2 linked regions of the Canis lupus familiaris genome follow. The protein of the gene in region 1 binds, or shares a complex with, the protein of each later gene. Links are inferred from orthologs where the notes say so. Each region holds a gene or a part of one and is shown on either strand. Other genes may lie near its edges. The genes, in order: tubulin alpha-1B chain and KIAA0895L.

The links.
Region 2: the proteins of tubulin alpha-1B chain (region 1) and KIAA0895L are in contact, whole or in part, in a cryo-EM structure (PDB 7Z6S), measured with the Homo sapiens proteins. The link is inferred for Canis lupus familiaris from reciprocal best matches to the Homo sapiens genes TUBA1B and MATCAP1. Residues at the interface, in NP_006073.2 of Homo sapiens: Asp345, Trp346, Arg422, Glu423, Ala426, Ala427, Glu429, Lys430, Asp431, Glu433, Glu434, Val435, Gly436, Val437, Asp438, Ser439, Val440, Glu441; in NP_001035805.1 of Homo sapiens: Lys219, Cys220, Trp223, Val226, Arg227, Gly237, Glu238, Val239, Val240, Val241, Gln242, Leu243, Met253, Met254, Val255, Glu256, Asn257, Ser258, Arg259, Pro260, Thr261.

What each region holds. Positions count from the first base shown.
Region 1 is NC_049248.1:41,186,989-41,191,347, reverse strand, and holds the start of tubulin alpha-1B chain, read left to right. Parts: upstream 1-1,338; 5' UTR 1,339-1,583; coding exon 1,584-1,586; intron 1,587-3,003; coding exon 3,004-3,226; intron 3,227-3,366; coding exon 3,367-3,515; intron 3,516-3,896; coding exon 3,897-4,359. UniProt on the Homo sapiens protein: Tubulin is the major constituent of microtubules, protein filaments consisting of alpha- and beta-tubulin heterodimers. Microtubules grow by the addition of GTP-tubulin dimers to the microtubule end, where a stabilizing cap forms.
Region 2 is NC_049226.1:82,767,443-82,771,962, forward strand, and holds the start of KIAA0895L (uncharacterized protein KIAA0895-like homolog), read left to right. Parts: upstream 1-1,574; 5' UTR 1,575-2,001; coding exon 2,002-2,077; intron 2,078-2,671; exon of another isoform or gene 2,672-2,744; coding exon of another isoform or gene 2,745-2,771; intron 2,772-3,211; exon of another isoform or gene 3,212-3,839; intron 3,840-4,061; coding exon 4,062-4,520. Other genes in the region: EXOC3L1 (exocyst complex component 3-like protein), read left to right, coding at 60-182, 260-415, 507-631, 719-908. UniProt on the Homo sapiens protein: Tyrosine carboxypeptidase that removes the C-terminal tyrosine residue of alpha-tubulin, thereby regulating microtubule dynamics and function. Also able to remove the C-terminal phenylalanine residue of alpha-tubulin TUBA8.

The sequences.
Region 1 (4,359 bases):
TATTTATTAGAAATAAAAGAAAACCTCTTGTTTGTATTCCAGATTCATATGAGTGGAAAATTTACATATATATAAGAAGTAAAAATATTTCTGTATCTGTGTATGTGTGTATATCTTTATATATATATATACATACATATATCCTTATATATCCATATATGTATATATATCCCTATATATGTGTATGTATATATATATATATCTCCTTATAAACTACAGACATATTAACAGTGTAAATCTGTTATTTGTCTGATATGAAGGGTGAAGTTTTTACCAAGTCTAAGTAAGGTAATAACTGAATGTAAACTGTAAATTATTACTGTTTTATATTTACTTTTTCTTTACTAACATACTATCACTGGGAGGAGATTTTGAGGAGCAGCGTAACAGCAATAGGTTTCTGCTAGGCCCATTTTAAAGCCCCATTTTAACCCTAACTAACCACTTTATGCATTTCTAAGGGTTTATATACTTTATGGTCATGGAATAGTCTCCTCAAAGGCAGAGCTGGGAGGGAGTGGATATCCACTATAATCTGGGCCTCCTAGATGGACGCTATAATCAACTGATCTATCTTGACCAGCAGAAAGCAGTTATTACATACAGTTTTTGCAAAGCTCTAAATAACACGAGGTTTCCCTACTTCCTAACATCCTTCAGTGTCAACAATTTCCTCACTATCCAAGTTTCTGCCCTCACTTCTACAATTCAGCTCTCCTATTTGAAATGTATCTTTGGATTTCCCTTTTGAAAGCCCCTGGAACTGTTCCATAAAATTGTTGGTTATGCCTAAACACGGGGCCTAGGAAGCCCTTTTAACGGCTGCGATGTTCAAACTTAGGTATTACTCTCTGAATGACTCAAATGCTTTTGCATCCAACGTCTGCCACCTTAGTTTAACGAGCAAGTCATTAAGCAAATAAAACGAGTCTGTTTTCTAAACCTTGCATCCTCCACATTATCAGGTTAAGTAAAGACTGCACCGCCTTTAAAGGAGCTGAGAAAAGGGGGAAAAAAAAAAAAAAGGCGAGACTCACTGACAAATTGTAGCAACCTGAAAATAATCAGCTGAGCTATCCGGACCAGAAATTTCTGCATTTCATGGTGCTTCAGCTTTAACGCTGTACGGACTTCTTAAGTCTTAGGGTTCGTCCAAATTGAGGCAGGCCTCCTCTCCCGTCCCCGTGCTGGTTCGCGAACCCGCGCCCGCCCCCGCCCCCCGCCCGGGCCCCGGCAGCCATGCGCCGCAGACTGCAGCACCCGAGCTCGCTGTCCGCAGGCGCGGCGGACCCCGCCCCGCACGGCCGGCGCGCGGGGGGGGGGCGGGGGGAGGGGGCGCCCTGGGCCAGGAGCCCGCCTCTGCGGCGGCCGAGCCGGGCGCCGAGTGGGCGCGCCGGGCGGGAGGAGGGGCCCGCGGCCGTGGCACCGCCCGGGCCCGCCCGCCCTCCCGGACCGCTACTTAAGAGGCTCCGGCGGCGCCCCCGCCTCAGTGCGTTACTTACCTCGACTCTTAGCTTGTCGGGGACGGTAACCGGGACCCGGTGTCTGCTCCTGTCGCCTGCGCCTGCTACCCCGCAGCCACCATGGTGAGTGGGCCGCTCGGGGCGCCGCCCTTGCCCTGGAAGACCGGGGGAAGCGAGCCTGGCGGTCTCGGGGCGGGGGCGGGGGCGGGGGTGGGTGAGGGGGCGCCAGCCGGAGATGAGCGCCCTGATTTGGGAAGGCGAGAGGCGAGGCGAGGGCGGGAGCAGTGAGAACAGCTGGGGCCAGGACGGGGGGCCGCCGCGTTTTCGTCTCGGACTGTGGGAGAGGATGGCCGGGCGCCGGCTCCCGAGACCGTGGTCGGGGTTCTCCATTCGCCCTTACCTCTTGGGGCGCGGCGGCGGCCCGAGACCCTACAGCCTTTTTCCCGCGCGTTCCCATCCCCCCCTTTCCTTCCCCCGCTTTTGGCGGGCGCGCGCGCGGGCTCTGCACGCCCTCACTTCCTCCTCTGCCAGGAGCGCGGAGGCGGGAAGGAGCCGGACACAAAAGCGCACGCGCGACCGTTACCTTCCCGCCACAGGGAGAGGCGGGAGACCGCCCCTGCAGTCTGCGCGTGCGCGCCGGGTCGCTGCGGGCCTGCCGCTGTAGGGCGTGGCTCCTGGTAGCCTGAGTTTTCCTTTTTTATTTATTTTTTTCTTTCTTTCAACGACAGCCGTAAGATGAATGTGGAGGAGAACAGCTCCTTGTCAGTGTGCTGCGTTACGTCAGGGTATCGGGACAATTAGCTCCCAGCAGCTTCTAGAGACCATCTGTCCTTAACTCGGTATGAGTTAGGAATGCGTGTAGGAGCAGGTGGTGGCGGTGAGGCGTTCCGAGGGGACGGAAATCGGATCTTGCTCCAGATCTGGGCCGCCGATAATCCCCTGCCCTGCCCAGACAGATGTGGAGGTGCTGGGCTGAGCCCAACGCCTGGGGAAGCGGAAGAGGGTTGGCGGAGGCAGACCTTCTGCAGACGTGGCTGCGGCGTGTCTCTGCAGCTGCGCGGCCCCGCCGGCCGCAGAGGGGCGCGGGCGCGCGCACTCCCTGAATTGCTCATTCATCCTGTGCCGCAAAGCCCCGCCCTTTGTCCCTGCAGCCAGACGTTTCCTCCGCACTGCTCTGGCCACGTGCTTCCTGTGATGGGAACTGCCCGGAAATCTGGCTGCCCAGTCTAAAATGGCATTCAGAGGCCCGAGCCCTGGATGAATGGCTATCTATCTTCATCCTCCAAAGGAGGAAGCTGTGACTAAGCTCTCTTGCTCTGGAAAAAAGGGCCTTCCCAATAGAGGTGGGGAACAGAAATTCGTTAAAAGCGATGCAGAGCAAAAAGCAAAGGGATTCTCCCCCCTAGAGATCTAAAAGTATTGTGTTTTAACTAGTTTTAGAAGGGGAAGTTTGTAGAAATGACATGAATTTTGTTCTGCTTTGCCGTCATTACTAGATTAGTTTAAGACTGATTTTTATTTTTATCTGTTTTTTCCGCAGCGTGAGTGTATCTCGATCCACGTTGGCCAGGCAGGTGTCCAGATCGGCAATGCCTGCTGGGAGCTCTATTGCCTGGAACACGGCATTCAGCCCGATGGCCAGATGCCAAGTGACAAGACCATTGGGGGAGGAGATGACTCCTTCAACACCTTCTTCAGTGAGACGGGCGCTGGCAAGCATGTGCCCAGGGCAGTGTTTGTAGACCTGGAGCCCACAGTCATTGGTGAGTTGGCCTCAGTAACCCAAGTGAGCTCCCGGGGCACTGGGGCAGGAGGTCTGTCTGAGGCTCCACTGACAGCCTGGGGCTGAGCAGGGTCATGCAGGTTGTTAGTGATGGGTGGCCACCTTGTTTTCCTTTTCCAGATGAAGTTCGCACTGGCACCTACCGCCAGCTCTTCCACCCTGAGCAGCTCATCACAGGCAAGGAAGATGCTGCCAATAACTATGCCCGAGGGCACTACACCATTGGCAAGGAGATCATTGACCTTGTCTTGGACCGAATTCGGAAACTGGTATGTTTATTCTCAAGAATAAAGTAAATAAGGATCCGAAGGAAGACATTTGAGATACGATGTTTTGTTTTGTTTTTTTCATTTCAAATGCAGAATTGAAATGTAATGGAGTGAGGTGAACTACTCCTTTACAGTTTTTTGTTTTTTTTTTTAATTCAATTGAAACCTGAACTACTTGGGTGCTGTTTTACAAATACTAATGAAGATATTTTTAATTAAGAAATGCTTAGAAAGTCTAGGAAGGCCTACATGTATTTAAAAGCATTTCTTGTCAAAATAAGATCTATATTCTTGGAGCTGTATGAAAAGTGGAAATCTGTGTACTTATGATGATATAGCAAAGAGCAGTAATAGGTTTTCTCTATTCCTTTTTTCTAACAGGCTGACCAGTGCACGGGTCTTCAGGGCTTCTTGGTTTTCCACAGCTTTGGCGGGGGAACTGGTTCTGGGTTCACCTCCCTGCTGATGGAACGTCTCTCTGTCGATTATGGCAAGAAGTCCAAGCTAGAGTTCTCCATCTACCCTGCCCCCCAGGTGTCCACAGCTGTAGTAGAGCCCTACAACTCCATCCTCACCACCCACACCACCCTGGAGCACTCTGATTGTGCCTTCATGGTAGACAATGAGGCCATCTATGACATCTGTCGTAGAAACCTCGATATTGAGCGCCCAACCTACACTAACCTCAACCGCCTTATTAGCCAGATTGTGTCCTCCATCACTGCTTCCCTCAGATTTGATGGAGCCCTGAATGTGGATCTGACGGAGTTCCAGACCAACCTGGTGCCCTATCCCCGCATCCACTTCCCTCTGGCCACATATGCCCCTGTCATCTCTGCTGAGA
Region 2 (4,520 bases), on another chromosome or scaffold:
TGGAGGAATGCTAGGTCTGGTTGTTCCTCCAGCCCTGTTTCTGCTCCCCCATCCCGCAGCCCCTGTTCACGGCTCTGCCCTCACGCCGGTGGCTTTCGAGCCCAGAGCTGCTGGACGACGTGTGCAAGAGGACGGAGCGCTTCTGCCAGGATTTCAGGCGCGTGCGGAATCCTGCGGTCCAGGTGCGTTGAAGGGGAAGACTGTGGAGTAGGGAAGCGCCCACGGAAAAGGCATGCTGGACCCACTGCGCTCTCCGCAGCTGCTCCTGGCCGAGGCGGAACGTACGGTGGTACTGCAGTACCTGCGCGCGCTGATGCAGGGCCGCCTGGTGTGCCGAGGCGCGGACGAGAGGACCCGGGCGGCCGAGCGCCTGCAGCACGACGCGGCCCAGCTTCGGGAGCTCTTCCTCGGCTTGGTGAGAGTCCGTTAGGGGAGCAGCTGGGCGGGAGTCTCAGTGGTTGGGCGGGGGCCGAAGGGGGACTCGAGACCTACTCCGCGGTGCTCAGGGCCTGGAGGAGAGTGTTCAGTGCGCGCCCGTGCTCCTCGCTCTTCGGGACCTGCTGAACCTCCGCGACCCCATGCTACTTGGCCTCGAGGTGGCAGGCCTGCGACAAAAATTTCCTGACGTGAGGTGTGAAGACTGGGGGGGGGGATGGAGCGGGGGCGGGCTTGGGAGGAGTGGGGCGGAGGTGACACACACCCCTGTGGCGCCCCCTAGCGAGGATCACGTCTCTGCCCTCTTGGACCTGCGCGGGGACGTGTCCCGAGAGCAGCGCCTGGCCGCACTCAGCTCCCTGCAGGCCGGCCCACAGCCCTCGCCCCCCGCGGGTCGCCGCGCACTCTTCAGCCTCGTGCCGGCACCTACGCCTACGCTGTCCTCCTGCCTTCCCTCGGGGCCCTGTGCCTGACCCCGGGCTGCCCCCGAACACAGGGACGGCCCCCAGAGCCTGAATTGTGTCCTGGGGAAGGGCGGATGAAATAAAAATGCGATGACTAGGGGGTCCACGCTCAGCGAAACGCCTAAGGTACCCTGGCTCCGGCCCTGATGTGTGCGCGGCGCCTCCCGTATCCTGGCGTCGGCCGGTGTGGACGCGGCTCCCAAGTACCGAGCTTCCGCCCCCACAGGCGGACTACAGCCCCCCTGTCCGCGCCAGGGCACTGTGTGGAGGCCCTGACCGCGAGGCCCCCGGGCACCCGGCGCACGGGAACGCTCCGGCCCGCGTGGAGGGGGCGGGCTTAAGACACGGCCGCGCCCAGGGGCGTGACCCGGTGGCGGACACCGCCCCTCTGCTCGCCCGGCCCCGCCCCTGCCTCCTCGGGCGCGCGCCGCCGCCGAGATTGACGCGACTACGCGCGCCTTCGCGTAAGCGTGCGCGCGCCCGAGTGCGTGCGTCACCAGCGGTCGGCTCCCGCGGGCCGGGCGGCCGGCGACTGGTGGCTGCGGAGAGGGGACGGCGGTGGCGAGAAGAGGAGAGAACAGGTGGGGGCGCGGTACGCGGGCGGAACCCCCAGCCCCCGGGAGGCCGCGGAGGCGCGCGACGCGATCCCTACTCCTCTAGCCGAGAACCCCCCTCCATTGTCCTCCGGCTCCGCCCTCCACTGGCCACGCCCCTTGTCCCATCCTCCGCCTCTTATTGGCTGCAGGTCACGCCCCTCCTCTATCTCCCCGTCCCCATTGGCTCCCCTTCCACGTTACCTTCTCCGGGAGTTTTTTATTGGCGCAGGCCACACCCTCTCATTTGTCGCCAGACTCCGCCTAGTGCCCGGGCTCCTCCCCAGTCATCTTTCATTCATTCCTCATGTAGTGTTGGGTGCTTGGGACATGGGGGTCAGTCAGACCTGTCCCTGCCCTCAGGGAGTTAAGGGGGTGGTGAGGAAACACGGATCTGGGCTCCGACAGTGACAGCTTAGGGTGGTAAAGGAGCCGCCCAGACACTGGGAGCCTCCAAGACGCCAGGAAGGCCTCCCGGAGGAGGTGAGACCCAAGCCGAGCCCTGAGGAATGCTCAGGAATTTGCTACAGAGACATTGCGAGGGCAATCGTGGCAAAAGAAGTGAAAGAAACAGTTGTATTCTTGGTAATTGCGAAGACGTAGGTCGAATGAAAGAGGGGGGAGTGGAGATGAAGGCGATTGATCCAGAGATTGTGCCCAGAGACCAGTGAGGAGTCCAGAGAAGTGTGCAGTTGGTTGAGAAGAGTAAAGTCTGAGGCCTGAAATCTTTTCAAAGAGCTGGTCACCAGGCAGAGGGAAGGGAGGTGGGGGCAGGGGACCAGATCTAGATAGGGAGACATAGTGTGGACAAGGAATGTTTCCAGTTCTGAGAAGAAGTACTCTTGGGTTCATTTATTGAGCAACTGCTCTGGGTCAGGTACTGTTCTGGGTTCTGGGGACACAGCTGTTGAACATTCGAAAGGAGAAAGCAGATAACTATACTATACTGTGCTTCATATGGTGATAACTGCTTCAGAAACCAATAATGTGGGGAAGGGAAGATTGTGGTGGAGAGGAAAGAGGAGGTTCACCATTTTATAGTGATTCAAGGAGACTTGTCTAATAGCATATTTGTGCAGAAATCTGAGGAAAGTGGGAGAGGTGAGTCCTGTGGTTATATGGGGAGAAGCATTCCAGATAGGGGACATGTTCGGTTTTAGATGCTTATTGTACTTTTAGGTAAAGATGTTGAATTGATAACTGGCAACACCAGTCTGAAGTTTATAGAAGTCTGGGCTGATGTATTTGAAACATGAAAGCAGATGAAATCACTCTGGGAGTAAGTATAAATGGAGAAGAGGGGAGAAGTGTCCATAGAAGTTTCCAAGTCCTGAGCCATTACAGTGTTAAGAGGTCAGGAAGATAGGAATGATGAGCAAAAAAGGCCAAGAGGTAACAGCCAGTGAGGTAGGAGAACATGTTTGAGTGTATTTGGGAAGCCAAGTGGGGAACATGTTTCCAAGATGAGATGATTAATTATGTCCTGTGCACTGTTCAATATGAAGATCATTGATGACCTTGGTCAGATTCAGCTCAATTTTAATGGAGAGTGGGGATAAAAACCTAATTGGAGTGAAACGTAAGAGAGAAGAGGAAAGAAGGGTTGAGACTGTGTACAGATGGGTGATGGGTGTTGTGCTGCAATAATGAGCAGCTGGCGGGAGATGTGGGGCTAGAGGAGTTTGGGGTCAAGTGGGGGTTTGGTTTTGTTTTTTTTAGGACAGAAATAACAGCATGTATTTATGCTGATGGAAAGAATCCAGTAGAGAGGAAGAGATTGATGGCGTTGGAGAAATGCTGGAATTGTGGCCCTGAGCAGGCAGAGGAGTTCAAAGTCTGGAGCCTTCAGACAGTCTCTGGGGAGAGACTGGCTTGTTCTGAGCCCTAGTACAGAGCAAGGGGTGAACATGCCAACGCTGGCCTGGGATGACCACTAGAAAGAGGCCTCTGATAGGAGACAGACCAGGAATTGGCTTGAATTTGCTCAAGTCTCCCTCTGCTCCCCAAAAGCTGATCCTAATTTGGATTTGAACAGATGACCCAGAGGAGAGAGGACGCATTCCAGGTGGAGGAAGTAACATAATCAAGGGACATGCAGGCCCCCGACCTGACTGAGGCCAACTGGGGTGGAGGAGGTGGTGGAGCTAGATGGGATGCGAGGGGTGAGACCGAGAAAATGCCATAGGCGGAAGGCAGGTTGAAGGTAGTGAGGCCCCCTCAGCTGTCCTCCCGGCAGCTGGGGCTACGCCACCAGGTCTCAGTCTAGGTGGGCGCTGAGCACGAGTTGGGGCTCGGGCCTTGCTCTCGGCAGCTCATAGGCTAAGGGGATTCCAGAACCACCATCTAGGTGAGTGCATAGTTCCTGCTTTCCCCCAGTCCAGCTTCCTTGGATGAGCCTGCCTGGAGGGAATGGACACCGGGAAGGGGGTGAGGGGCAGCTACCCAGACCCCTGGTGGCAGGCCCCGAGCCCACTGAACACCTGGCCAGGGCATTGTGGAGCGCAAGGCCTGCTGATGCTCAGGCCACACCGGCTCATAATGGTCTCCACATGCCCTTCTGTGTCCCCAGAAGTCGACAGTGTGGGGAGTTGGAGTGACCCGGCTGGATGTGACCCCCAGGACAGAATGGTGCTGGACTCAGGGGCTCAGGTGTATGAACAGGCACCCCCCAGCCCGCCAGCTAGTCCCTCATCCTTGGGCCATCGGCTGAAGCCCTCAGACCGAGATGGGACACTGCTGTACCCCTGGCCTCGGTCCCTGGCCTTGCCCCTGGCTCTGTCAATCCCCTCAGCTCTGCCGCCCAGGCCTGAGCTGCAGCCCTTCTCAGAGCTGCACTTGGGCCACCGTGGCCACATGCGTCGCAGTGAGAGCACCTATACTGTAAATAGTACTGGCCGGCGGGGAGGTGGCCCCCAGGGTCGGGCCCCACCTGGACGGGCACGGGACCCAGGTGGGGGCACCCTGCGGTCTGCGGCCTCCCTGCCTCACATTGCTAAGACTCGAAAGGATGCAGGCCGTGGTGCCAGCA